Linked DNA regions of Coturnix japonica. The protein of the gene in region 3 interacts with the protein of the main gene of each other region in a biochemical or structural test. Links are inferred from orthologs where the notes say so. Each region holds a gene or a part of one and is shown on either strand. Other genes may lie near its edges.

The links.
Region 1: the proteins of LRRK1 (region 3) and FGFR2 form a complex in vitro, tested with the Homo sapiens proteins (2 studies listed by BioGRID and IntAct, with this or other methods). The link is inferred for Coturnix japonica from reciprocal best matches to the Homo sapiens genes LRRK1 and FGFR2.
Region 2: the proteins of LRRK1 (region 3) and ECHS1 form a complex in vitro, tested with the Homo sapiens proteins (2 studies listed by BioGRID and IntAct, with this or other methods). The link is inferred for Coturnix japonica from reciprocal best matches to the Homo sapiens genes LRRK1 and ECHS1.
Region 4: the proteins of LRRK1 (region 3) and TCF25 form a complex in vitro, tested with the Homo sapiens proteins (2 studies listed by BioGRID and IntAct, with this or other methods). The link is inferred for Coturnix japonica from reciprocal best matches to the Homo sapiens genes LRRK1 and TCF25.
Region 5: the proteins of LRRK1 (region 3) and CDC42EP3 form a complex in vitro, tested with the Homo sapiens proteins (2 studies listed by BioGRID and IntAct, with this or other methods). The link is inferred for Coturnix japonica from reciprocal best matches to the Homo sapiens genes LRRK1 and CDC42EP3.
Region 6: the proteins of LRRK1 (region 3) and PDCD4 form a complex in vitro, tested with the Homo sapiens proteins (2 studies listed by BioGRID and IntAct, with this or other methods). The link is inferred for Coturnix japonica from reciprocal best matches to the Homo sapiens genes LRRK1 and PDCD4.
Region 7: the proteins of LRRK1 (region 3) and ODF2 form a complex in vitro, tested with the Homo sapiens proteins (2 studies listed by BioGRID and IntAct, with this or other methods). The link is inferred for Coturnix japonica from reciprocal best matches to the Homo sapiens genes LRRK1 and ODF2.

The regions. Positions count from the first base shown.
Region 1 is NC_029521.1:27,586,014-27,590,287, forward strand, and holds the start of FGFR2 (fibroblast growth factor receptor 2), read right to left. Parts: upstream 2,801-4,274; 5' UTR 2,689-2,800; intron 1,629-2,688; exon of another isoform or gene 1,536-1,628; intron 1,169-1,535; exon of another isoform or gene 981-1,168; intron 1-980. UniProt on the Homo sapiens protein: Tyrosine-protein kinase that acts as a cell-surface receptor for fibroblast growth factors and plays an essential role in the regulation of cell proliferation, differentiation, migration and apoptosis, and in the regulation of embryonic development.
Region 2 is NC_029521.1:5,960,971-5,964,579, forward strand, and holds ECHS1 (enoyl-CoA hydratase, mitochondrial), read left to right. Parts: upstream 1-1,361; 5' UTR 1,362-1,387; coding exon 1,388-1,502; intron 1,503-1,674; coding exon 1,675-1,872; intron 1,873-1,959; coding exon 1,960-2,087; intron 2,088-2,160; coding exon 2,161-2,260; intron 2,261-2,339; coding exon 2,340-2,444; intron 2,445-2,514; coding exon 2,515-2,634; intron 2,635-2,715; coding exon 2,716-2,783; intron 2,784-2,858; coding exon 2,859-2,924; 3' UTR 2,925-3,109; downstream 3,110-3,609. UniProt on the Homo sapiens protein: Converts unsaturated trans-2-enoyl-CoA species ((2E)-enoyl-CoA) to the corresponding (3S)-3hydroxyacyl-CoA species through addition of a water molecule to the double bond.
Region 3 is NC_029525.1:15,897,719-15,900,648, forward strand, and holds the end of LRRK1 (leucine-rich repeat serine/threonine-protein kinase 1), read left to right. Parts: intron 1-204; coding exon 205-306; intron 307-1,467; coding exon 1,468-1,645; 3' UTR 1,646-2,430; downstream 2,431-2,930.
Region 4 is NC_029526.1:16,780,093-16,783,592, reverse strand, and holds part of TCF25 (transcription factor 25), read right to left. Parts: intron 2,579-3,500; coding exon 2,454-2,578; intron 988-2,453; coding exon 922-987; intron 1-921. UniProt on the Homo sapiens protein: Component of the ribosome quality control complex (RQC), a ribosome-associated complex that mediates ubiquitination and extraction of incompletely synthesized nascent chains for proteasomal degradation.
Region 5 is NC_029518.1:28,587,374-28,591,572, forward strand, and holds the start of CDC42EP3 (cdc42 effector protein 3), read right to left. Parts: upstream 2,801-4,199; 5' UTR 2,693-2,800; intron 1-2,692.
Region 6 is NC_029521.1:23,080,020-23,084,180, reverse strand, and holds the start of PDCD4 (programmed cell death protein 4), read right to left. Parts: upstream 2,801-4,161; 5' UTR 2,660-2,800; intron 483-2,659; exon of another isoform or gene 268-482; intron 1-267. UniProt on the Homo sapiens protein: Inhibits translation initiation and cap-dependent translation. May excert its function by hindering the interaction between EIF4A1 and EIF4G. Inhibits the helicase activity of EIF4A. Modulates the activation of JUN kinase.
Region 7 is NC_029532.1:3,840,242-3,844,426, reverse strand, and holds the start of ODF2 (outer dense fiber protein 2), read right to left. Parts: upstream 2,801-4,185; 5' UTR 2,748-2,800; coding exon 2,590-2,747; intron 1,548-2,589; coding exon 1,463-1,547; intron 837-1,462; exon of another isoform or gene 791-836; coding exon of another isoform or gene 683-790; intron 1-682. UniProt on the Homo sapiens protein: Seems to be a major component of sperm tail outer dense fibers (ODF).

The DNA.
Region 1 (4,274 bases), on a different chromosome or scaffold from region 3:
CCCAAAATACAAGGTGGCACACCACTGTCGATGGATAAATCAAGCAAGCTGTTCAAATCAGCCAATAACTCATCTTAGAAGTAATGAGACCCAACTGAAGCTTAGAGAGCACTGATCTTGGGGAAAGAATTGCATAAAACCTCTTTTTTCCCCCCTCCTGCCCCCATCCTTAAATAGAGGGGGAAAAAAAGAAGCCTGAGCTATGGTACCACAGCATGTAGAACTCAGCAAAACGAACACATGTTCTGCCTTTATGGAGCCAACCATTAAGGAATGTATTCAGACTTTTTCAGCCTCTCACTCAGGGCTGGAAACTGAACTCAGCTCCCAGAAATGGGGACAGGTGTGTGTGGGGCATCCTTGGAAGCCCCAGGCTCTGCAGAAGCAGATTTGAGAAGAGATCCAATTGGGTAAAGGGTTCAGACACAGCATTTCAGGTGAACCTCTGCCTCTCTGGGGCAAGCGTTTCCCATCCCAGCTCAATGCTCCGCTGCTCCTTTAGAGACTGAAGCAGAGCACGACACCACAAGCACACAACAGTTCCACCTCCAGCAGAACCAAAGCCAGACCACTTCACAGACACTGGGGAAGAACCCACAGAGCACCTCCCTACAAGAGGGCAATGCAGGTGTGGAGCCCAAGTTCTGTCCCGAGGACGGGTCTCAGCCTCTGACTCACAGCCCCACAGCACAGTTTATCCAGCTGTAAAGCAGGTATAAATCCTAATTAACAGACTGGAGGTAAAGCTAATTTAATTTCCATAAATCATCCCGTAAAGCCTGATTAAAGGCTACGTATATAAATGCAAAGCTTAACCATATTTTTTCGCAAAAAGAAAACATACCAGAATGCTATCATATATCCCAGACTCTTTTCTAAACAGCATTAATCCCACCTACATTTCAGCAGCACAGGATTTCCAGGCTGCATTCAATGCCATTTAGAGCCGTGTGCCCATCCCGAATGGCAGCACTGCTCACCTGGAGGAGGCTGCCAGCTCCTGCACTGAGCATCCAACAGCAGCACGGAGGGACTCTTCCCCTGCAGGGTAACACCAAATTCAAAGCCTGGGCTCAAGAAGGTGCAGCAAAGCGACACTCAGAGCTTTGGGCCCATCCGCAGAACCCAAATCTACAACCACGGTCCAAACGCTGCCCGTTCCCAAACCAAACGGAGTCCAACGAAGACCAAAAGAACCCAAATTCTTTTCATAGTTTGATGGCCACAGTCGCCGGGGAACGGCTCCCTGGAAGGACCTCCTGCGCTGGTTAATTATGTACCTCTATCTCAATGTTTGGAACACAGCCCCAGCATGCTTTTTGGCCTCCACAATTCTGGCTTCCTGACTACAATACCATAATCCCTCCTGGAGTCTCAGACTCAGTGAAAGCCACACGTAGTGTTTATTTTTCCCCTTGAAAGGGAACTCTGTCTCTCCTCTCAGCCTACACTTCGGGGAGGAGTTGTCAGCCCCCAATGATTGATGGCTCTCCTTGCCACTCGCTCATCAAGTCAATTTTCACCTCGTCACATACCTGCCCAAATTTCTGTGCCAAACTGACGAGCATGGGAACGCAGACTGGTTTGGGAGCCCAACCAAATTCCTCCGAGCTCTCCTCCACTTTTGAGCACACTCGCTCGCAAACAAGTAGTTCTTGTTCAGCAGTGGCATTAATTAAATTCAACGCTCAGTGTTCTTTTTAATCTACTCCCATTGTTGTTTATAAGATGTTTATCACTCCCCGGGGACGGTCCAATTTGTACAGCATGTTAACCAAATCAATACGCTGCTCATCGGGCAGCTCTTAGCAGCGCTCTCTATTAAGGCAGGGAATAGCGAAATCTGAACGAAATACGGAGCTTCCCCCAATGCCAGCACCCGGCAGCTTCCCTACAACCATCCGAGCACACCGAGCTCCCCAACGAGCGCATATGGGCTTAAATATTGACACCTATTTATACGGAGATGCAGACATACGTACGCACGCGTCTCCATCCCCGCTCAATCTCCGAGCAAATCTGAGCATCACAGCTATTAAACATTAATTCTGGAGGACTAATGGGAACCGGCTGGCAAGCCTCCGTACTTTCGCATTGTTTGAACTTCTTTCATTCGCTTTCCAGGACTATCCTGTTTTTCTCAAGTCTTTTACCACTAAGAGATGAGGAGGGGGGGGAAGAGAAAAAAAAAGATCTGCATTTTAATTGACATTCCAGAGAGAGAGAGAAGTCCAGAGGCTGTTGATTGCTGTCTATTCAGCCCAAACAGGCTTTTCAGATGAAAATGAGTAAAGGCTAGTGGAAGATTTACAGGGATTTGGTACAAAGGAGACAATGAAGTTTTAAATGTTGATAGCGTTTCACACCGAACGCATAATGGCTCACTGTTTGAACGAGCCGTTTTGCATTTAAACCTATATATCACCGCGGATTTCTTTTTTTACCCGGTGCGGGACGGGGGGCGGTTCCGCTCCGCCGAGCATCGCTCCGTGGGGAGCTCCCGAGGGCTGAGCTGCTCTCAGCCCCGCTGTCACCGTCCCCTAAAGGTTTCGCCGCATCGGACGGGACCGCAGACAGCATCCCGAGCCTCCCCGTCCCGTCGGGAGCGCCGCGAGCCCTCCCCTCCTCGGGTTTGCCCCCACTCCCCCCCAACACCTTTCCCCTCCCTACCCCCGGCCGTGCCATTACCTGAAGCCGGTCGGCTCCGCGGCCGCGCTCACTCGTCGGGCAGCCCCGGCGGGGCGGGCTGGGGGCCCCGCAGGGCAACGCGGCGCATCCCCCGCGGGATGCGGGGCTGGCGGCGGCGGGGCGGCGATGCAGGAGCCCGCCCGGCGTCCCGTCCCCTCGCTGCGCTGCGGCGCTACCGCCTCACTGGGGCGAGCCCGCCGTGCCCGGCGCCAGCAGCCTCCTCCCCCGCGCGGGCATCGCCGCGGGTCCCGCTCCGCTCCATCCAGCCGCCCTCCCCGTGCCGCCGCAGCTTTGTCAGTCCAACAACCCCCCTCTTTTTTCTTTTTTTTTTTTTTTTCCTTCTTTTTCGCCCTCCCTCTCCCTCTCTCTCCCTCTCTCTCTCTCTCTCTCTCCGCACGCTCCTCCGACTCCTTCCTCCCTCCTCCCCTGGTCACTCCCCCAGCTGCAATCCGAGCCGTTTCCTGGACGGCGCTGCTCGGCTCTGCCAATCGCTGCGGCTGCGGTACGGAGCCCCTGCCCCCGCCGCACAGCCCGGCCCGGCCCCGGCTCCGGTCCCGCTGGGGATGCGAGCGTTGCTCTGCCCGGTGGGGAGGGCGAGGCGGCCGCCCCCAGCCCGCACGCAGCCCTGATGGCACCCGCACTCACTCACGGTACCACCTCGGCCACCTGACTGCGGGGGGTTTGTAGGACCAGAGGCTACAGCAGCGCTGCCCCAACCCGAGGCATGGTGACACCCAGCAAACACCACCCGTGTGCACGGCGTGGGGTCAGCTGTGTGTTGGTGATGCAGCAGCGGTGCCCGAAGTGATTTAAAGTGATGCATAATATCGGTATCTAAAATTGAGTATAATTTAATAAAGCTTTTACTTTAGATACCATTAACTAAAAGGTTGCTAGCGCAGTCCGTGCAATGCTTGCTCTGTAGAATCGGCCTGACAACTGAATCAATAAGCGCCGCTCGCCTCCAATTAAATCAGTGCTGATCAATGTAACGTTACTTTATCTGAGCGCAGCTCTGCCGTGCACTGGATCTGTTCTGCACAGTATTGATTGGAGGCTCTCAAGGACTGCGGCGGCACAGCAGTGGCTCTCTGTATTTACACACTTTCAAGCACCAAAAGCTGAAAACAAGTTTTGTGTGCACCGTGTGCCTACCTCCCAAATAGTGCTTTCCCACCGGCAGCAGCAGCAGCGAGGGGCTGCAGGCGAGATTGGAAGCTCAGCTTTACTCTTGTTGTTCCTAAAGCAAGAGGCGTCTCAATGTTCTAATTGAGGAGCTGCAATGTCACAGTCCGGATCCAATTTTCTCAGCTCTGGGCATGTCCACTGCCCTTTGAAAACACCCTTTAATGCATTCTCACATAAATTATTGCCCGACACAGGAAGCTGCAATACCTTTCCCCATTCATCGCTATCTTTGCATGCTCTGAAAAAGAAAAGGAAGCATTCTGCTAAAAAAAAATGACAAATCAGAACACCTATCCCCAATGTCTGGAAGCACTTGTCAGAATTTATTCTTTTTGGGGATGAAAAGATAGCAGTCTATCAATGGCACCCTATTCTCTCCAAGGAGCCTCATTCTCCTA
Region 2 (3,609 bases), on a different chromosome or scaffold from region 3:
CCTTGCTTGGGCCACATCCATCCACACGCAGCGTCGCCCAGCTTTATTTCCACGTCACTGTCGAATCGCTGAGGAACCCAGTGGGCGCCATCAGTGGTGCAGGATGGCAGCGAGGGGACAGAACCAGGGCACGGCCCAGCCCCATTCCATCCGTCCCGGTGCCGCCGACGTCCAGGCCGTCCCGTTGCCCTCGTGGTACTCCATCTCTGCCCGGGCCTGGTGCAGTGCAGCTCCAGCCGCCGCCCCAGCTGCCGCCGCCGCCGCAGCCACACGCAGAGCCCCGCCGTAGCGTGGCAGGCCCCTGTGGCGGCTGCGGGCAGCCCCCCGTGCCATGCCGCGTGCAGCCCCCCGGGAGCCCCCACGCCCGCCCTTGGAGGCAGCTGGCTGGCAGAAGGTGGCAGCAAGCAGCAGCAGCACCCAGCAGCAGGCCACGCGCCGCCTCATCCCGCCGACCTGCACACAGGGGGGCTGTGCTGTGGGCAGGTGCCCACCTCACTGCGTGCACACACGTATGTGGGGTGTGAGCAGTCACATCGTGCATGGGCTGCAGACGTCACGTGCACCAACACGGGCTGTACAGGTACGCGGGCAGCAACGAGGTCTCCTTATGCCTTGCACATGCACCTGTGTGTGGGATGCATGGTCACAGCCTGCATGTGTTGTGCTACATGCACCAACACGGGGACTACACGTGTGCCACATTCACAACACGCATGTAGATTGCACTGACACATGGATTACACGCGTCACATGCACCACAATGTGTGTTACATTCCCCGGCACATGAGGTGCACAAGCACATGGTCTGCACGTCTGCCCTATATGCCAACACACACGTTACATATGTTGCATAATACACGGACCACACATGTATGTTGTATGCACTGATACATGTATTACACACACTGATACATGGACGGCACGTGTGTCACACACTTCAACACACGTGCCACATGCACTGACACCGGGTTGCACAGACAAGTGTGATGCTGTCCGTCCCGCTCACACGTGCCGCATCCCGCTGCACGCATTGCACGTCCGCACGCACCCCGCGCTGTGCGCAGCCCCTGCACACCCGTGCACAACCCAACGCACCTCACGGCACAGCTGCCCCCGCCGCCTCCCGCTCCCACGTCCCGCGTGGGCTGGTCTCGTCCCCGCCGTGCAGCCCCGGTTCACGCTCCTGCTCCGCTCCCGTCCGCTCCGCGCTGTGGGCACGGGGCCGCGCGCCCGCGGGCGACGTGAAGCGCGGACACGCGTGTGGAGCGGCGGGGCGGGTCCCGCGTGTGCCAATGGCCGATCCGCAGTGCGGGGCGCGGCACAGCGCGGCGATGGGCGCGGGGCGGAGCGAGGCCGCGGGGAGGGCGGGCAGTGTCCGCGCAGAGACATGGCGGCCCCGCTGCGCGCCCTGCTCGGCTCCGCTGTTTGCGCCGGTACCGCGCGGCACCGCGCGCTGCTGAACGCACTGCGCCCCCACGTGGCGGGGCGGGGGTACAGCCACGGTGAGCGGGGGGAGACGGGACGGGGGAGCTGCGGGGCGGGGGGCACCGGGAGCCGGGGACGGGCAGCGGGAGCGGGCCGCGGTCAGAACAGCGGCACCGAGCGGGGGAACCGGGAGCCGGCACCGCCCGGCGCGGACACACGGGTGAAGGTCGGCCCGCAATGGCCGCGCAGGGGCCCCGTTCCGCTTCGTGCAGGTGCAGAAGGTCGGGACGGGCGGCAGCGTGGGGCTCATCCGGCTGCACCGGCCCGAGGCGCTGAACGCGCTGTGTGCGGGGCTGATGGAGGAGCTGGGGCGGGCGCTGGACGCCTTCGAGGCCGACGGGCAGGTGGGAGCTGTTGTCATCACCGGCAGTGAGAAGGCGTTTGCAGGTACGGCTCCGGCACCCCGCGGTCCCACCGCCCCACCTCCGCATCCCCACGCAGCCCTTTGGTGACCCCGTGCCTTCCCCCCTGCAGCCGGCGCTGACATTAAAGAGATGCAGAACAAAACCTTCCAGGAGTGCTATGGCAGCGGCTTCCTGGCGGGCTGGGACCGGGTGGCCACTGTCCGCAAGCCCACCATCGCTGCCGTTAATGGCTTCGCCGTGAGTGCCCCTTCCGTGTCCCCATGTCCCCGTATCTGTGCTGCCGCTGTGCCATAACCCGTTGTGCTTGCAGCTGGGTGGCGGCTGTGAACTGGCCATGATGTGCGACATCATCTATGCTGGGGAGAAGGCACAGTTTGGGCAGCCTGAGATCCTGCTGGGGACAATCCCAGGTGAGCGTGGGGGCTGTGTGTCCCCGGTGGGCTGGTGACGGCCACGTGCCTGCTCCCAAACCCAACACCCCATCCCCAGGTGCTGGGGGGACGCAGAGGCTGACCAGGGCGGTGGGCAAATCACTGGCCATGGAGATGGTTCTGACTGGGGAGCGGATCTCAGCAGCGGAGGCCAAGGTGGCAGGTAGGTAGGGGTGTGGGTGAGGCTGGGGGCACAATGGGGGTCCCCATATCACCTCCCTGCTTGCCCCCAGGTCTGGTCAGCAAAGTCTTTCCCCCGGACAAGCTGGTGGATGCAGCCATTGGCTGCGCTGAGAAGATCGCTGCCAACTCCAAGCTGGTGGTAGCTATGGCCAAGGAGTCTGTCAATGCTGGTACGGGGTGAACTCAGGGATTTGGGGTCCAGATTGAACAGTGTTCCCATCTCCTCATCCCTATCTTTTCTCCATCTCCAGCTTTCGAAACAACACTGACAGAGGGGAACAGGACGGAGAAGCGCCTCTTCTATGCCACTTTTGCCACCGTGAGTACAGGGCTGGCCCTGGACACACAGGGAGAGTGGGGCTGTGGGCCGCCCCAACCCATTCTCTGCCACCAGGACGACCGCAAGGAGGGGATGACTGCGTTTGTGGAGAAGCGCAAGGCCAAATTCACTGACAGCTGAGCTGCAGAACCTGCGGACACTGATTGCCCTTGTCTGCCCTTTACCACCCATGTGCCTCAAAACGAAGGATGGGCCCATTGGCACTGCAGAGGGAGCCAGCGCTTGGCATGGAATGATGCCCACACTGGACATGATCCCCAGTAGGGTTTTGGCTCGTTACTGCTATTAAAAGGCTTTCCTGGTGCTGCTGGTGCATCATCATTGTTGTTAGGAGCCTCCACATTGAAAAGCACTGGAGATGGCTGAGAGCCTTTAAAAGAGCCAGGCCTTCCCATGGGCTGAATGGGAGCTGGGGTGACTGGCTGAGTCCCCTGGCCTGCTGGACCCCCCTGTTCCTGTCAGAAACCAAGCACCCACCTGCTGCTCAACAAGGAGAGGTTTATTGGGGGCTCATGGTGGGGGCAGGGCTGCAGCCTCCCTTAGCTGTGGTACAGGTGGTCACGGTCCTCTGAGGGACCATTTTCCACCTCTGCCGACAGAACCATGCGTGCTCTGTGGAACTGGGGTTCAGGCTCCACCTCAGCCCTGTCCGAAGGGTGATAGAGATGGTCACGGTCCTGCTCTGGCCCCACCTGGACCCGAGCAGGGTCTGGAAGGAACAGAGGCCGTGAAGCAGTGTCCTTGGCAAGCCTGGCTTTCTCCACTGCCTGTGGAGCCTGGATGCTGTAAGAGAAGCAGAGGTGGC
Region 3 (2,930 bases):
TGTGATTTGCCAGCTGTAGGGGTTCTTAGTGCAGCAGATTCAGTGGCTTCTTGGTGAGGTGGCAGTGCCCCTTCCCTGCAGAAATCTGTGTTAGTACAGGAGGGATTGCAGCAGAGAGGGTGGGCATCCAACACAGGATTTGCTCAGCTGCCAGCAGTCCCCATTACATAGTGTATGTGTGCAACTCCCTCGTTTCTTTTGCAGGAGAGGAGGGGATATCATCGTGATTGGACTGGAGAAGGAATCGGGCATGCAGCGGGGCCGAGTGATCGCCGTGCTGAAGGCCGGGGAGCTGGCTCCCTATGGGTGAGGCTGAGTTGGGCACCGGCTCCCAAGGGTTCAAGGGGATGGGTTGCAGAGGTGAGGGTGAGATGCTGTGACCACAGCCTGGTCTCCAAAATTCACCTGGTGCCCTGTAACGTGATGGGCAGAGCCCGGTGTCTGTCTGATCCTGCCTGCTGCTGCCTCCAGGTACTCGGAGGGCAGCGGCACCTGGCAGGAGATGGTTGGAGCTTGGCAGGCTCTGGCCCTGTGTTAGGAACAAGCAGTGTATTTATGCAGAGCGCAGCGCTTGTCTGTGGCTTCATTCATGTGGATCAGGTTGAAGTTCTGGCTCTAAATGAGCACCTTTGTGCTGTCGGCAGTGAATGGCCAGGGGACGGCTCCGAGAGCACAGGGGAGAGTAGTTCTATACATTAATGTAAAGGATTTCATCCAGCAAACGAGAGTCCAGATAAATAAATAGCTGCTGGAGAGATGGGGGTGCTCCTGCTGATCACTTAAATACCAGTCTGGGATTGTACTATTTATGTCCAAACAAATGGAGGTTAAGCACTGCTAAGGATTATAAATGACCATTTATTACCACTGGGCAAACACAGCGTGAGATCAAAGCACTCCTGCCGTTCCCTCGCCTTGTTCACTGAGCATTTTTATCAGTTAGTTGAGAGTGGGGCATTCTTGGCTGTAGGTTTGACTTTTATTTTACCCAACCGTTAAAAACAATTAGGAGGAAATTAGGTGCAGAGCCACGGCCATTGGGGCTGCCACTGGCTCACCTCACAGCATTGCTGTGCCATGCCACCCACCCCATCCAAGCCCATCACTCACATGGGCTGGTTGGCTGCTCTGGATACACCCAACTGGCTGCAGGGATTGAACAGATCAGGAGATTATCAGCAACTTCAGAACGTTGCAGCAGGTTTATGCATGTAGCTTCACGTTTGGGCACCTGAATCCCTTACAGAATCTTTTCCCATGTCACTGAACTGCTTGCTTTTGCCACGCTGTGGTTTCTTGTTCCTCCCTTTGCTATGCTCTCCCTTCTCAAGGATTTGCAGCTTATAAAAGGAGATTCACCAGCTGGAAAGGAGAGCCTGTGAATCAGTGCCTCTGGGATTAGCGGGCCCCGCTGCTTAGTGGGGCTGCAATCCACCCTGATGCCATTCTCTGCTCTTCCTTCCCCAGGACGCTGGTGGATGCTGCTCTCGTAGCAAAGGACACGGTTGTGTGCTGCTTTCAGAATGAAAACACCGAGTGGTGCCTGGCTGTCTGGAGGGGCTGGAGTGCCAGAGACTTTGACGTTTTCTACCAGGCCTACGAAGAGCTGGGACGGCTTGAAACTTGCATGAGGAAGAGGAGGTAGTGCTCGTGGCACTGGAAACCGAGGGCTGATGGAAGAGGGGAAGCGTCCTGCCCTGAGCATGCAGCCCCACACGGGGAGGGGATGGGGTGCACAGGGACAGTGTACCACTGTTTGCTGCTAAGGAGCTGCATGGGGTTTTGGCAGCAGAGCCCAGCAGGGCTCTGGGGGCAGCCCAGCAGGGGCAGGATATGGGCGCTGGGCGCTCTCTGTGCAGCTGAGTGCAGGAGGTGGCTGCAGCTCGGGGAGTGAGCGAGCTATTGAATTGCACTCCTGCAAAGTCAGTTGTAAAATAGAGCTGATACAAAGCAAAGCCACTTGGGCTGACAGCTACTTCCTGATGGGAGAGAAGGGAGAGCTCTGTGACCAGGGAAGCCCATAAGCTGCCTTTGTTCTGCTCCTCTTTCTCTGGGTAACTACACTCTGGAGTATCAGGAGCACAATAAGTTTCATTTGCCTGTGTATCTGCTCAGCTTCCGCCGCCGCAGCTTTTAGTTTGTCTTCATTAGTGGCCCAGGATGCTTTATGGGCTCTGAGTTGCACTTCCTAATTCCGAGCATGTACAGCGCTGTAAAAGGAGCCTGGCTCCGTGCCCTGTGTAAAGGTGTACAGTTTGGACATTTTGTTGTTTTTCTATTCCAAGAAACTTCTGTGAGCATCGGCTGCGCGGGCCGAGGCCGTGCGGGCAGGTCTGGTTCATGTCCCTGTTGCAGGCTGCTACGACACACTTTGTCTCTAAAGAGGGGTGTCTTCAAATAAACAGATTCCTCCCTGCCTTGGCACTGTGACACAGGCACTTGTGGTGGGTAATCTGCCACAGGGGTTCGGGTTTGCAGTGTGTGGTTGTGATGCCTGGCACCCACTGGTGCCTTTCCTTTCAGCTTCTTTGCAAAACCAGTATCTGTAAGAGCCATAATGGCTCTGCATTGCCCTGAGCACCCCAGGCACAGCTTCATGCTCTGCACCCCAGGCTGGGCTTTGTGCCTCAGCTCCAGCCCCAACCTCAGCATCACCTCAGTGGGCACAAAGCTGCCTTTGTCCCGCTGTTACTGAGCATGAGCACCACCGCCCACCCCAGACACATCGTAAAGTGGCTGCTCTGGAAGTCCTGCTGCTGGGAAAGAGGGAGCTGAGGGGCTGGAGCTGCTGGGAGAGCTGATGTCGCTGGGAGCGAGTGCATCCCAGTGGGCAGCAATGGGCTGGGAGTGTGAGATTAGAGCCTGAAATCTGCTTCTCAGCACTCTTGTTCCCATAACCCTGGTGTCTTGTCTGCTGCTGGAGCTTGGTG
Region 4 (3,500 bases), on a different chromosome or scaffold from region 3:
TTCCACTTCAATGGTTTCTTTCCCTTGTTTTTACTCTTGCCAAGTTCTCAGCTGCCTCTTTGCTTCAAAAAGCTTCCCAGGCCCAATTAAGAGAGCCCCATATCCCTCTGACTCATATTTTCCCAGCAGGGCCTCCAAGTGTTGACTGATTCAGTTTAAGCTGTATTTATAAGTGGAACCAATTTTCTGGTTCAGAGCAAGAGGAATTCAGAAATCAAGGCAATTCTAAGGAAGTCACATCTCCTTAGTCAGGGACTGCTTCTTTTTCCTCAAGTGCTAGATGCCACCTTTTGCTTTAGTCTCTCCTTGGAGGAGTCTAATTCATCTACAGACCCTATCACAGATTTCCCTTTCCACCATCACCACCCCGAGCTTATACCATTCTTCTGTGCACATTTACCAACCAGCCCTCAAAACCAAGGATTTTCTGTATAACATCAATGACAAAGCAATGAGTAATTGCACAGAAATCTTACACCTAAGCAGCAGTTGGTGCCCTGAGCCTACATGAGCAAGCTTATGAGACTACCTGGAAAGTATTCAGGGTCTACTCTAAGACAGAGACTTCAGAATAATAACAAGAAACAAAAGCTGGAATAGGACCAAGAACCTAATAGCCTATGAATCTGAACAAAAAGATTTGATAAGGGCATTTGACAGTACATGGGAGAGGGGGTTAAAATAACCAGCAAAAGAAAAAGGAACTACTAGGTAAAGTCTGAAGAAACCTTACACCTTTCTCACACACAGCCCCAAAAATATTCTTCTGACCACTAAATAAGTAAGACCCCATGAACACATTGCAGTGCCCTGGGTTCCCAGCACAGGCATAGCACCAGAGACTCAGTAAGCAACGCCAAGGCAAGGACAGACACAGCAACTCAAAATTCAGAAAATTTTACTATTAAACTTTGGACTAACCTCTGATCACCGAGAACAGCACGAGCCCCAAAGTATCTCTTCAACTCATTCTCTGGATTCAAGTTTCTGAGAATGTTGAAACAAGAAAGAAAAGTTAAACAGACAAAAATCTTGCAATCTTTTCCTTTTTAACAAAGCCAGGTATGTTGTACCAAAAACCATCCCTGGCCAAACTCCTGAACTATCACATACACACCCCTCTGGTATGACACAGCACACCAGGAGAACAGTTAGTGGTCAGAGCAGGAGGTATCCAAAGCCCTGTTCAATCAGGTGCACAGCTCCTTTGTACACTGCTCTAAAGACAGTGAGCTAGGGAATACTGCTGCCCTCTCCAGGACAGATGGGTCCCTAGCCTGGCATGCTCCCAGGGACAGCCTCGTTCAGGGAAACATGCTTGGGGTATTTGCACCTGGAAAACACGAGATAACTGCTGCTAAGCCTATCAGTGGCGGATTGCAACCCAAGGCAAGCACCCTAACCACTGTATGGAGGCTGGCAAGGCTTAAAATACATGCTTTTAATACAAAGATTGTACATCAAAGCATGACAACACCTACAGTTTTCTTCATCTAACATTTGGCCCAGAGAAGAGAGGCACATTTAAGGGGGGTTTCTCTCTGTCATCCAGTGAGAAAGGCTCAAAGGAAGATAGGGAGTGGGAAGGTTGAGATCCAGCACTGCCAACTCACTCCCACTCTGAGATTATCCACTTCTCAAAGGTTTCTGAATAACATTCACCTGACCAGAGAATTCACTGAAGTCGAAAACATCTTGGCAAGCAAACATCCCTCCCTTTATTAAAAGGAAAACTAGCTAAACTAGCAAGAAGAACCCACTGGCCTAGATTGTTTTGGTGCAGTGTGTTTGGAGGTTTCAGAACCCTGAGTGGTAGATTGTTCAGTCCTACAAGTTCTTTTCCCAGAAGAGAAAGAGCTGCCAGTATCCATATTAACCCAGAACTCTGAGACAGGCTGGACACAGAAGCTGCTGATCCAGGCTGTGATGTTACAGATGTCTAGTGTGAGGCTAATAGCCTCCTCAGCTGGTGGACATGCCCAGCACTTAGTCCACTTTGTTAATGGTCACATGTGGGAAAGGTTAGACGAGTCTAACAAGCATTCCTGGTGAAATTAGTTGCTGGTACTGCTTAGCCCTCCTTGAAGGGCAGCATGTATTGGTGTATTGGCCTGAATAGTCTGGCTTCAAAGCTTTATGTGCTGAGGCAGAGTCAACCAACAGTTTTCAACACAGAGTCACCAACAGTTTTAGCCTGAAAGACACTTCTGGGGGTCATCTGATCCAGCCACCCACTGCAGATGGGACAGCAGAGAACACTCATTGCTGCTAAAAACTGAGCACAGCTTTAGGAGCAGTAGTCAGAAATGGGGCTGTGTACAACTGCTACCATAACTCCTTTCACATAAGGTTCTGGATTTATGGCCAGATTACATAGGTAGGCTTCCACCTCCCTTCCTCAGTATACAAATACTTCTGTCACACTCAAAGCCAGGAAGGAAAGCGAGCTCTACCTGTGCTCTATGTAGAGCAGAGGCCTGCTGTCTGCAATTATTCCACTCTGGGTCTCTTGTGATAGTCCATTGGTATCCTCAATCTTCTCCAGCAAGCTGTCGATGTCTTCCAGGTCATCATCTTCCTTAAGACATGCATATGCAAAGACAAGGCAGTAATTACAGGAAGAGACACAGAGGCACACAGGTCACCCAGCTGCCTCCAGGTCCTGTGGCTCACCCCGATATCATCCCACAGACCCCACTGTTCACCCTGATTCAACCCCAACTTCGGGAGCACGCATACTCTTTTGTAATGAGGCTTCTTGCTTTCCACCCAGCACCCCGCATTTCCCTCAGGAATCCCACCCTGCTCCTGCCATCCCTGTCCAACTGCCCCCAAAATGCTGGCTGCTCTCCCTCCTTCTTCAAGGCATCACAGGATGCTGCTCTTCATACTATCACAAGCCTGAGTGTGTCAACTGAATAAACCCAGCGTGGCAGGCTTGCTGCCGGCCTCGTGCTCTGAGCCCAAACCAACTGGCCACAGTGGTCCTTCCCAGCACAACACAGCTCACGAGTCTGTGCGTGTCTGCTCTCTGGTCTCCCCTCTCCTACAAAGCTGTGCTTTGTCTCTTGTTTACTTATATGACGATCTAACTTCCTAAAATACCATGAAAAGTTGGGAGGCTGATTTTAATGGTGAAATAAATCAACCTTCACTGTCTGCTTTCCACAGAATCGTTGAATTACTGCTGTGATCACTGTAACAGAAAATTAGACACACGCACGCCTGTAATCCAGTTCTAACGTGCTGCATGGTCACCTCCCACTCTTCTAACAACCAGAAGAACACATCCAGCAGAAAACATTCAACAGCTGTACAACACTTTCACCTCAGTTTCCCTCTATTTTGCCCACAGGTAGCAAGTGACACATTTCTTATGTGGCCACTTCACATCCTCCTTAGGATCCACATGGGCAGAAAGTGGAATTCCATTCATGACACTCAGCATTCCGAGGTTGCCTTATCCAACTAAATACACTGTGTGGAGTGGGTACATGAAA
Region 5 (4,199 bases), on a different chromosome or scaffold from region 3:
ATACTCTATGTAAGAATTATATTCAGGAGTGTCATCCAGAACTCTCCTATTTAGCACAGCACTGGAAATAGACCTTTTGTTCAGCATGAGCATTACCTGGGCCCTTCTCACTTGTAGCACCTACTTCTGCCATCCAGCTTCACAAAAAAGCCTTCCCTGCTTGGTGGTGCTTCACATCCACTCTTGATAATCTACCCAGCGATATCCATCAGTACCACCTGCATGCTTTCACTGGCTATTAACTAAGCTGCTTTGCAGTGAGAAGTCCTTTAAAAGCAGTTCACCATCTCACACTTGTGTACCGTGCTCTTCTTATCCACATTTGGGAAAGGTACCTTTCTGTCACACACTAAAACCATCAAGGTAGACCTGCAGTCAAATAACCCCCTGTAAGCGCTGTACTGGTGGGGCTGTGTTATGCATAGCCCTCCCAGTCAGTTCCCTTGTACTGCTGGGAGGGACAGCCAGACAGCTCTTCTGAGATGGCTTCAATCTTGACAAAAGCTATTGACTCTGCTGTGATTGAGATAAGAAAAGGAAAAAAAGTAGAGAAGTGATGCTTTTTGCTTGTTTTTCCAAACTTACATTTGTGTACATTTGCAAAAATGCATATATTTGCATGCAAAAGCCAAAAGGAGCTCTACGTGACTTGGATTGGATCTACGGCAACTGTCTCTGTGAGGGTGAGGAACATGAGCACCTCTGAGCCCCAAGGATACCGCACCAGGAGAAGAAGAGAAAACCTGAAGGCAAGTTCTACATGCAGAAGGAAATTTCTTTCTAAATACCAGCACAATTCCCTCCCCTACCTTAAACTATTTCTCAAGACTTGGGCAGAGGACCAGAATTTCTTCTAGAAGGAGTCACCTGGCTTAGAAGATTATAAACCGAAGCAGCATACGTAATTACGAAAAGCTGAGAACAAGACAAGTTTTGCCACGAAACATGGCTTTCTCTGGTTACAGCAAAGCTTCTATCAGTGGCTTGGAACAGTTTGAAACACCTCTTTGAAGTCAGTGTGACAGCAGTCAAACGGCGCGGTGCAGAGCCACGCTGCCCCAGGGAACGTGTGGCTCCAGGCTGCCTGTCAGGAGATACCATCTCCTTCATTTCCAAAGGCACCAGGCCACCACCTGGCGATGCTGGCTGGCTCCACACATCACTGAAGAAGGCAGGACTACAGGGACAAGTAGTTTCAGCAGCCTGATTTTCACTCCTACAAATGTACAAGGTGCTGCTGAGACAACAAGAGTTGGGACTATCTTTCATCTAAGGAGGAGATGGGCCCCATTGTTTCCTTTGCAGATACTGCTGGCTTATGCTGAGGCCAGGAAAAAAACGACTCCTTTCAGTGTTATTCTACCGACCAGAGAACCTGCTCAGTTCCTCTCCCCTGAACGCTGTAATAAAAAACAAATGTTCAAAGCAAGGAATGCCTTGAACATAGGGATTTTTTGTTACTTTTCTGAATGCTTCTGCTGAAAAACTATTTTTAACACGGCAAAGAGCTAAAGTGAAGCTTAATGCTGACGTTCCCAAAGGCTGGACCCTTTCAGAACAAAACACTTTAAAAATAAATCCTGGCAACAGCAATCACCTGCTGATAGACGCTTTTATGTTCAGCCAGCTGCTGAGATGCCACATCTGTCACTTCTTGCTGCCAGTATCACGCTTTCCTTTTCTGTAGGGAAGGAGAAAATGCTGTTCCTGCATTGTGCTGAGCATCACGATGCCTTTTTTGGTAGCTCTGTCATTCCTCCAAACATCTGAGCTACCACATGCGGATTTCAGCATTTCTGCTGCCGCTCTCGCTCACTTTTAGATCCTCGTACCTTAAAGCATCAGTTTTCCCTGAACCACGTTACATATTTATGATCTATACATAACTGAGAATACTGCTCAGTGTATAAGCAATTTCACTCCTGGGCACTCAATCCGCCTCCTGCATCCAGATGCTTCTCAAAGGAAAAGATCCGGATCGCGTTCCTTTCATTAAGCATTTCATAATAAGCCCTCTTCCTATTTTTAAAGCATAACAACAGTCTATGGTGACGCAAGTCCTAAATTAATTGCTTCCTCTACTTCACTCTTTTTTTACGTTTCCATCGAGGACGCAAAGAGCCCCTCTCCTCAATCTGCCGCCCACTGCTCTCCACCGGCGGCCGAACCCCGCACCGCCCCGCACCTCCCGGCCGGGACTCTTTGTCTGCGGGCAGCGGGAGCCGCTCCCGACCGCCGCTCAGGTGCACACGGACGGACGGATGGACGGATGGACGGATGGAGGGATGGACGGATGGAGGGATGGAGGGATGAAGGGATGGAGGGATGGACGGATTGACGGATGGAGGGCCGGGGGGATGCGCGGGTTTACCCCGCACAAAACGCAGACGCGGTGCGGGGCTGCGCCTACGACACAGGACGGGAAATAGGGACCGGCGAAACCCGCAGCAGAGACAATGTAAACCCATTATCGGGGGACGAACGTAAGCTCTGAATTACGGCGATGCAGAAACACCCCCAGCCATCAGGCAGAACTACACCCCAACACGAGGATTCATCGATAAATGCCTCCGAAACGCTTCCCCTCCCTCTCTCCCTCCCGGCTCGCTGCGGGGCCGCCGCCGCCCGCAGTGGAGGCCACCCCTGTTCGGAGCTCCGCACCGGCAGCCACCCTCCCCACTCCCCCACTCACGGCTCTGCCGGCTGCTGCCGCCGCTCCTCGCTCCTCGCCGCGGAGACGGGCGGGCAGAGGGGCCGCCCCTCCGTGACCGGCACCTGCGAGCGCCCGTCAGCGCGGCCGGGCGGCGGCGGATCCCCGAGTCCCGGGGGCGCGGCGTGGGGAGCCGCGGGAGGCGGCGCTGCCGGCGGGGCGGGCTGCAGGGAAATCCCGGAGCGGCGGAGCGGGGCGAGGCAGCCGCGGGGCGGGACGTGTGCGAGGAGCGAGCCGAGAGGAGCGAGCCCTGGCGGTCGGGAGAGCTCAAAGGCAGGAGGAAGGGCCGTGGCCGGTCGCGCAGGCTCTGGCTGCCGACCGGTGGGTCGCTGCGTGGGGAGCGCGTACTTGATAACGTTTTTCCTTGGTAAAGAGCCGAGGTCGTTGTCCTCCCGCAAGCTCTGCCCTCCCCAGGTGTCCGTGGGCAGGTACCTGCCCTGCTCCAGGCGGTGATGCTGAAGGGGCGATTTTGGAAAGGTCGTCTTTGGCAGTGCCCCAAAGCACCGCGTGTGCGTGTGTGGAAGCGTCTGATGTGGTACGGGCCTGATTTGGGCTGGGGCGTTTTTCTGAGTATTTGCATAATTTTCATTATGTATGGCATTTCTAAGGAAGGGTGAACTGTAGGCGCATTGCGTGTAGTTGTGTGCATAGTTAAAAATATGTTGATGTACTCTCACCTGGGTGAAAGAGTATTTCCCTTTACTCTCTTTGCACTGTTAGCATTGGAGCACTTCAATGCAAATGCACCTGACCACAGGACAAGAGCATTTTCTTTTACGTAGATGCGGTGCCAGGATGCACAGAACATTTCCATGTTAGGCGTGTGCCCTCAGCCTGCGGCACCCTTACGCACAGCAGTGTTTGTGGGCGAGAAGCATCACATGATGTGGAACTGATTGCTCCCCGATCCCATTGACTGAACCATGGAATCACGGAATGGTTTGGGTTGGAAAGGATCTTAAAGCCCACCCAGTTCCAACCCCAGCCACAGGCAGGAGCAGCACCGCCAGGAGGCTGCCCATCCAACCTAGCTTAGCAACTCCAGGGACAGGAACAGGCTGCCCAGGGAGGTTGTGGATTCCCCGTCCTTGGAGGTGTTCAAGGCCAGGTTGGACGGGGCCCTGGGCAACCTGATCTAGTAAAGGTGTATGTTTGGTGGCCCTGCCAGGCAGGGGGGTTGGAACTACATGATCCTTGAGGTCCCTTCCAACCCGGGTCATTCTGTGATTCTGTGATTCTGTGACAGGGCATCCTCAGCTTCTTAACTTCTTTAGGAAATTCAGTCCTTGCAGATGAATTCTGAAATACTTTAACCTCCACAAAAGTCCTTTTAGCCATCCCATTCACAGCACTTGATTTTTCAGAAAGCCGAGCTCTCTGTCAGTCAGTCGGTTGCTGCCTGCGGGAAGGCTTTGGGCTCACAGCCCGGCCCACAGCGGGGCTCTGTGGGGCTCCTCCGGTACCGATGGCACGGGCAGGGACTGCGCGG
Region 6 (4,161 bases), on a different chromosome or scaffold from region 3:
CTGTTCCAGGGCCTAACCACTCTCCTAGTGAAGAACCTCCCCCTACGCGATGCCTCCTCCCAGCCCCGCTCTAATTCCAACCCGTCCATTTTATCACGGTTCGGCTCACTCCCGGCTCTATCTCACTGCATTACACCACACGGAGCCGCTCGGCACCTCCCTCCCGTCTCTCTCTCACACCCGCTGCCGCCTTTGGCACCACTCTGGGCCCGCCCCGCGCCTCAGGCCCAGCGCCACCACAACGCGCAGCGCCCCCTCAGGGGTTACCTCAGCGATGGGTCCGGGGAGCCGCTCCACACCGCGGCTCAGCTCGGCCCCGGGTACCCTGCAGATACCCTACGGGCAGCCTGTAGGCAGCCTACGGGCAGCCTGCCGAGCCCCTGCCGCCGAGGTGGGACCGTTACGAGCGGCAGCTCGGCCGGTTCGATTGCACTGGGCTCGGCCCGGCCCCGCCCCCAGCCCGCGCTGCGTCTCTGCTTGTTTTTGTTTTCTTCCCCCCAGCGACACGGCGCAAAGCGGAGCCAACGATTGGCTGAATCCCGCCCGCCTTAGCAGCCAATCGGAGGGCGGAGGGAGAGGAGGGTGGGCGGGGCATCGGCCTGAGGGAAAGGAAAGGGACGGCGGGGGGGAAGGAAACATGGCGGCCGTGTCGGCGGGAAGGGGGATGGGGGTGTGCAGCGTTTCTGCGTTGCCAACTGGGGACAGGGAAGGGTCGGGCCCTGTTCGCTTCACACAGCACCCCTCTGGCCCTCCTAAGCTGTGTGGGTGTCACAGGTGCTCGTGAACACACCACGACTGCCCCAAAGCAGGCGGCTTTTTGTGGGGTCTGTGAGGAAAGCTGCTCACACACGTTCCTCCACGTTGATAACCAACCCATGTGTCGATAACCAGCCCATGTGTCCATAACCAACCCATGTGTCCATAACCAACCCATGTGCCCCTAACCAACCCATGTGCCCCTAACCAACCCATGTGCCCCTAACCAACCCATGTGTCCATAACCAGCCCATGTGTCCATAACCAGCCCATGTGCCCCTAACCAGCCCATGCGTCCGTAACCAACCCATGTGTACCCATTCACTGCCTCCCAGATTTTCTGCTTCAAATCAGTGTGCACTAACCCTGTTTATTCTATACGCAGCGCCTAAGGCCAGGCACCTGATTACAGGTGACAGCCTGTTTTATTGTCAAGTGCTCTGCCTTCACTCAGCCCCTCCTCAAAGCTCTGTGAGCCGTTGTTCTTCCCTTACAGTTTGCTCCTGCTGAGAGCCCAGCAATGTTTGGTGCCCTGAGCAGCCGTTCTGCCTCAGTGCTTGAGCACTGCAGGGTTCCTCAGCTGCCAGCCAGGGAATTACAACGTTACAGCCTGACTTTTGTTGTTTCTGGGGTTTTTTTTACATATTATTCCAATGTATTTCTACCCCAGATCGGTCTGAACCGCAGCCAAACTTCCCCTTGTGTAAGAGCTTCTGAGTTCACTTATTGGCCCTGCTCGGCATGAATCATCAGAAGGAAGTTTAAGAACCAAAACAACAGTGATCTCTTAAAGGACTGTGAGCCGTGATTGCTGTGTTTTTAGTGATAAACACTTCCCCCCACCAGACACGATGGAAAGAAAATCTTTCTTGTTTGTGATAGCTCTGGGTTCCAGCCATGTTACAGGCAGGACAGCTTAGCGTGCTCACATAAGCCTTTCTTCATATAAGGGGCAGCCTCAAAGGATGTTGTTTCGCTCATCAATCAAACAATAATTCCTAATTTCTCTTTGCACCTTGGCTGCCTGGGATGTGACGCTACATTGTCATCACTGAGATGCGGAAAACAGAATCTATCCATTAACAAAGACTGTGGAATTCAGCTTCCCCGCAGCAAGACAGCAGAGGAGCTGAATGATTCTGCAGCCAGGAGAGATGACTGAAGGTGCGGTGATACAGTAACAGGAACCTGCACAAGAGAAGATGCCACAAAATAACACCTCAGTGCATCCTGCCCCTTTGCTACTACCTGTTCTAAAGCCTTCTGTAAAATTACTGGAGGATTTTATGGTGAAATTTAGGGCCCAAAAGCTGTCTGATTCAATCAGAAGAAGAGGAAAGCTCCTGAACCAACCAGCACACCTCCAGACAAGGAAATGGCATGTTTTTCCTTTCTTCTGCTGCATGTTTCTATTAGCAGCCTGACTATCAACCACTGAAAACCTTGTCTGGATTTGACAGTACAAACCTTCTGATTTCTAAAACACTAAGACCTGAAAAAGGACTGATGTGCATGCAAGATTACTGGTGTCTTGCTGTTGTATCAAACAGACTACTCAAATATATAATCATTTTGCCTTTTTTGCCTCAAAACTTGCATGGTAAAGAGACATGGTTCATCTCACGTTAATCTCCAGGCTGTAGGGAGCAGCTTGCTCCTTCCCACTTCCCTCCCTGGCCGTATGAACAGCACTCAATCTCCATAAGAACAAGAGGGCAGAATCTCACTCCCCCCTTCCCATCTACAGCTCAAACTCAAGGAAAAAGAAAAAAAGAAAAAAAAAAAAAAAAAAAAAAAAAAAAAAAGGAAAAAAGGAAAAAAAAAACCTAAAACCAAACCCAACTCCTGACCAGTGCCCAGCTCCCATGCAAGCTGCAGTGTATCCGCATGCAGCCCAGGTTACCTGCACTGGGAGCTTCGCTGTGCCACGCCGTGCCTTGCCACGCAGGAACTGCTGGGATTCCTTCCTGCCCTCCCACCTGGAGCAAACTGCTGGGAGAGAGGCGAGCAGGTCACTTCCCAGCTCTCTTCCTCCCTTAACGCTGGCTGGGTTGTTTTCAAACTCTCCCCTCCCTTTCTCACATGTTGGCCAAACCCTCCCAGAACACCCAGGGGAGGGATCCTCTGGCTGCAGTTCCCCAAAACACGTGGAGAACCCTTCCCCCAGCCCTGGGTTAGGGGCACACACACCCAGCACCCGCCTGCTGCCAGCCTTTGCTTTTCAGCCCACTTCAGCAAGATTCACACTGTTTATTTGCCCTCCAGCACCCAGAGAGCAGTGATAAGCAGAGAAGCTGTGTTTACTTCAAAACATCGCCCAGCATTTTCTTTGCACTCCTCGGTGTGAGTTTTTTCAGAGTTCTGCTTTCTGTTTTGATTGTCTTCAAAAGCCAGCACCTGTGATGCTGACGCCTCAGCAGTTCTGCTTCATTACAATATGCTCTGCTGCAGTGACAGTTAGAATATAGATTTCCACACATAATGCAGACAACAAAAGCATACCGAGTCTGCTAAATCCATCTGCTCTGTTCACTTGCCTGTCTCTTGGCCTTCTGGTTTCTTTTCCTTCCTTGCACTTTCATTTGCATCTTCTGCACTGGTTTCAAGGTGCCTTCTTCAAATGAACTGCAAGCACAGCAATCCTATTCCTCACCAGTCAGCATCAGCTCCAGGTTGAAAGGATACCGAAACACGCCTTCACTTTTTTAATGCTCATTAATTAGAGTTGCTTCTGAACATCCTCCTACAGCTCCATACATGAGCTGGCAACAGCGCTGCAGCTCCATCCTGCATCTGCAGCCCCTGCCCAGGATGGGCACACAGGGGGGATGCAGGTCACATCTGTCTGGGTGTGGAAGCTCAAATGTCACTTGCTGAGATGGTTTTGGACAAACACAGCCTCTCTCTGCCATGGCTTTCCAGGACTTGTCCCTGACAGTGCACAAAAACCTTTCCTCCTTTATGTTTCTGAGAGCACCTTCCTGTCAGGCAATTTGGATTCGGGTTTGCTCTGTATAGCCATTTCAGACATGTCTTCTCTGTGTTACAGTTGTCATCTGTTTATTCTTGCCTTAACAAAGACAATCACGCCTCTGAAAAGACATTTTACTAGGAAGGAAGGGCTGAACTTGTGAAATGTGCAAAGAAATGGAGCATTTGATTGGCTGTAAAGAGTTCCAGATAGTGAGTTCATTTCAAAGCTAACAACCCAAAACGTGTAATAGTGTAATACTTCAGAATAATTGCCCTTTTCTTACTGGTTTACTGCAGGAGAAAATCTTCAGGAGCCCTTTATAACAAACAAGCTGTGTTATTGCCTTTTAATTATTATTTGACAAATGGAGGTACTGTGATAAATAAATCACGTGCCTGTGTTTTGTGTGTGTGTAATCACATGCTCCATAC
Region 7 (4,185 bases), on a different chromosome or scaffold from region 3:
TGTCTGCAGATATAAGAATGAGCCAGCAACTTCCATTATTTGTAGAGAAAAACTTTACACAAACATCCAACTTCAAAGAGATACAAGACAGCTACAACCCAGCTTCAGTATTGCCTTCTGTCTACTGTGGACAAGGGTATGAAGAGATCCTGTGTAGCTCTGCAGATTGACAAGGTATTTAATGCCAGAAGATGGTTTGAATCCAGCCCCTCTTCTTCCAAACACGTTAATTTGAATACAATCAAGACAGAATGTGGAACATTCAGTTCCTTCCTTACCCCAAACCCTTCCTTCAAATACAGGGATGAAGCTGAAGAAATAACACTATGAGAATACAAATCTAGGACATAGGAGGAAAAAATCCCCCAAGCTACATCACACTGAAAGCAACAGTTCTCATAGTCATGGAATTGTAGGGGCTGGAAGGGATTCTTAGAGATGATCGAATCCAGCCCCAGTCAGTGAAGTAAACATGAAAACAAGCCATATATTCTATAGCATAATGAAATCAGCTTAAACACAGAAAACACATCACTGAAAATTCACCACTGGTTACACACAGCAAAAAAGGCAACAGGTCTCAGTTCTAATGCTATGTAAAACAGACCTCAACGACTCTGTGGTGCTGCCAGCACTGCCTCCTCCCTGCAGCCCTCACAAACACCCAGCTGCACACTCCTACCTGGCATTTTGCAGGTGTGGATTTCTGACCCTTTTTAATATGGACATGGACAGGGGTGTTTTCATCCACATGGACGTGCAAAGGGGGAGATGAGGAACGGTTCTTCATGGCTCTTCTCCCACAGACGGGAAAGGGCAATACAATGAAAGGAAACCTGTGAATAAGGAAACTGGAAATAACAACACTTCCCTCTGTGCCAGAGAGCAACAGTGGCCAGTTTTGATTGAAGCATGTGCTGTCTTTCAATAGCATCTGCCATTCTGAAGTGCATGCCATTATGCTGTAAAGCTATTAACACAAATCATTTCTCTGCTGGTAATACTTTTTGTGGCCACTAAAGAACAAACGCAGTTGAACCAATAGAGTCACTGGCGTTCAAAGCATCAGAACAGTCGAGCAAATCAAGGATCTCAGTAACTAACACCAGAGTCTGGATAGAAATCTCATAGAGGAAAAGAGCATTAATTTAACAGCTCGGATTAGAAAAACCAACAGGAAACAAACAGCTCATTCCACCCTGGAACTCTGAACCTGGAAGTTCTCTCACATGTGCTTAACTTCAAATTCTTGAAGTCAAACCAATGCTTAAAAGCCTTTGGATCCTTGTTCAGATTTTCCCTCTGTGATGCACACAGGTACAAATTCACACACTAATTGCCCAGCACAGAAAAGCCCAGAGACACGAGGTTAAAGAAATCAGTGTAGGTGTGAATCTTCCCTTGAGGTAAGGATTCTTCAGTACAACAGCAGAGTTCTGTCAGCCCAGGTATAATTACTTACGGTTATTTTAAGGCTTTTAGATCCTCTTGACACTGTGCTCTGTGCAGATACTGATGTCATTTCATTGTTGATGGATGAAGAAAACCTGATGCAGAAACAACACAATCACAGAATGTCCCAAGTTGGAAGGGGGACCCACAAGGACCATCGGGACCAACTGGTGGGAACAGTGCCAATCTCACAACATTCCCTTCCTTTCAAACAAAGGCAACAACACACAGACTCAAATATATCCTGTATGAACTCAAGTAACAAAAGTCAGCGTGCTGTTGCTTCCTCTGATAAGTGCTTGCAACAGAAAAGCCTGCAACACGAGTCCTTGGTGCTGCACAGCCCAGCAAACACAAACACACTGCTGGCCAACCAGCCCCTTCCACAGACCTGAACTGAGAGCAGTGTGAGCTGCTGCCTCCTACTGATGGGACCGGGAGAAACGAGTGGGGACAGCTGTGTCCAATGGGTATATGGAGCTATTGGAGCTGCAGCACGAAGGGCTTCACTGCTGACCTTATGGAAACACTGCCTCAAAGCTTGCTGCACAAGGGGATACGGTACAAGAGTTACTTAAAGTGTCATGTTGTTCTGTACCGCTGCTAGAACAGAATTCAGATGAGTCTCCACAGCTCGTGATTGATTTGACAGGGTGTAATACACTGCTCGGGGTGAAACCAACATGGGCACATCGATATGAAGAACGTCAGGTTCTGATCACAGCACAGCATAACAGGCACCGGGCAGGGAAACAGCTCGGCACGAAGCCATGGCCACAGCTTCACCGGGTGGGGAAACAGCGGCCTGAGCAGCCGGGCAGGAGCACCACAGCTCTCCTACAATTGAACACAGCGCTGCCAACGGGTAACTGCCGGCTGGGCTCCACGGGCAGCACAGGAGCGGCCACAACCCGCGGGACAAGGCAGGGCTACAGCTCGGGGTGATGGTTCATTTCAAGGGACCGCTACGTCAGCTCGGAACTGGAAGCGAGAATCGTCACCGAGAGGCACCGCGCAGCGAACCGGCCCCGTGAGCCCTCCCGGCCCCGCGCTCAGGGCACCAGGGCCGCGCTCCCCTGGGCCGCTCCCCGCCGCGTTCCGACGGCCCGTCCGCCCCCTGCTCCCCCTGCTCCTCACCGCGAGCTGCCCAGCGCGTTCCATGACCGTGGCCGCTTCAGATGTTCCTCGCTGGCGGCGGCGCTGCGGCGGGGCGCCCCGCTGCCGTGTGGGCACCACGGGCACGAGATGCAGCCGCACTTCCGGACCCGCCGCCCCGCCGCCCGCACTTCCCCCATTGGGCGGTTCAAACCGGCCTCGGCCGCCGCTCGCCGCCCCGCGCCCCGCCGCCCCGCGCCCCGCCGTCCCGCCCCGTCTCCACAGCGACGAGTCGCGCACAGCGTCACAGAAGCCTTTATCCTCACACAGCGGACACCAGAGCACAGCGCCCACAGCCCACGGCCCAGCAAAGGAAGGGCTGAAGGGGGCTCTCCCAGCACCGGGGATTCACCCCGATTCTATTACAGAAGAACTCGTCTTTAAAGTCCAGCATCAATGTCTCAGTCAGCAGAACAGATGGGTGGACGAATGGAGGAAGAGCCTGAAGCAAGAGCTGCTGAGAACGATCGGACCAGATGCAGCTGTAACACTAGTAGCCAAGCAAGCAGCCTGCATTACAGTGCTGTGCTCTGAGCACGGCTCCCACCTATAGTCTGCTCAGTGCTTCTTCAGCCCGAGCTGCTTCCTCCCCGCAGTGCCCCAAACTCCTCCTGTCCTGCCCCATCCTTCTCACATCTCACTCACACACTGCAGGATCCCTCTGCCCGCAGCTCAGGGCTCTGAACAGCACAGTCTGTGCCCGCACATCAGTTCCAGAGGTGTGATCAGTCCGTTCAACTCGTTAGAAGATAAAACACTATTCCTTCTTAAGGATTTTCCCCCATGCAAGTATCTCAGGAAGGAGGCTGCAGGTGGCATCAGGCTGCAGCTCTCTGAATGGCTTCCTCCATGCGCTGGTACCAAGGCTGGATCTTGGTGTGAACCATCATGTCGTCAAAGGCTTCCAGCCCCTCCATGACCCGGAGCACCCCATACACTGCCTGCACCAGGGGACAAAGATCAGAACAGCACTGAGAAAGGCAATGGTGGAGAAAGGCTCAGGCTATCAATGAGAGCCCAGAAAGCGAGGCTACAGCCTCGCTCCACAGCTCCGGTTAGTAAGGAAGATTGAATGGGCAAAAAGGTTGCATGAACACAAACTGCTACTTTAAGGAAATAGTTAAGAAAAGGACAGAATCTAAATGCAATTATGGAGCTGAATTTAAGCCAGCTCAGTATCAATCCCTGGTGGAAAATATTTCCCCTCCATTCCAGGGTAAGAATCACACTCTGCTCCTCAATGCTGCCCCCAAGGAGCACCTCCTCAGCACCAAGTGTAATGCAGCCTGTGCAGGTGTGAGGCTCTGTTCACCAGCAATCACTATCCACAGCGGTCATTCTGGTTTTCAAACTGCTCATCTCATGGTTCCACACAGCCTGTATCACTGTCCTGCAGATGGGCACTGCAGGCTCTTTGTAGAGAGCATTTTGCTAAAGGAAAACAGCAAACACTGCCCTGCTTTTGCTAAAGCATTCTACGTGCCTGTAGCTCGTGTAAATCACCTTCCCTATGTTCATATCCACCACTTCACAAGGATAAACAACAGGGTAATTTGCAATATATGTAACCACAGAAAC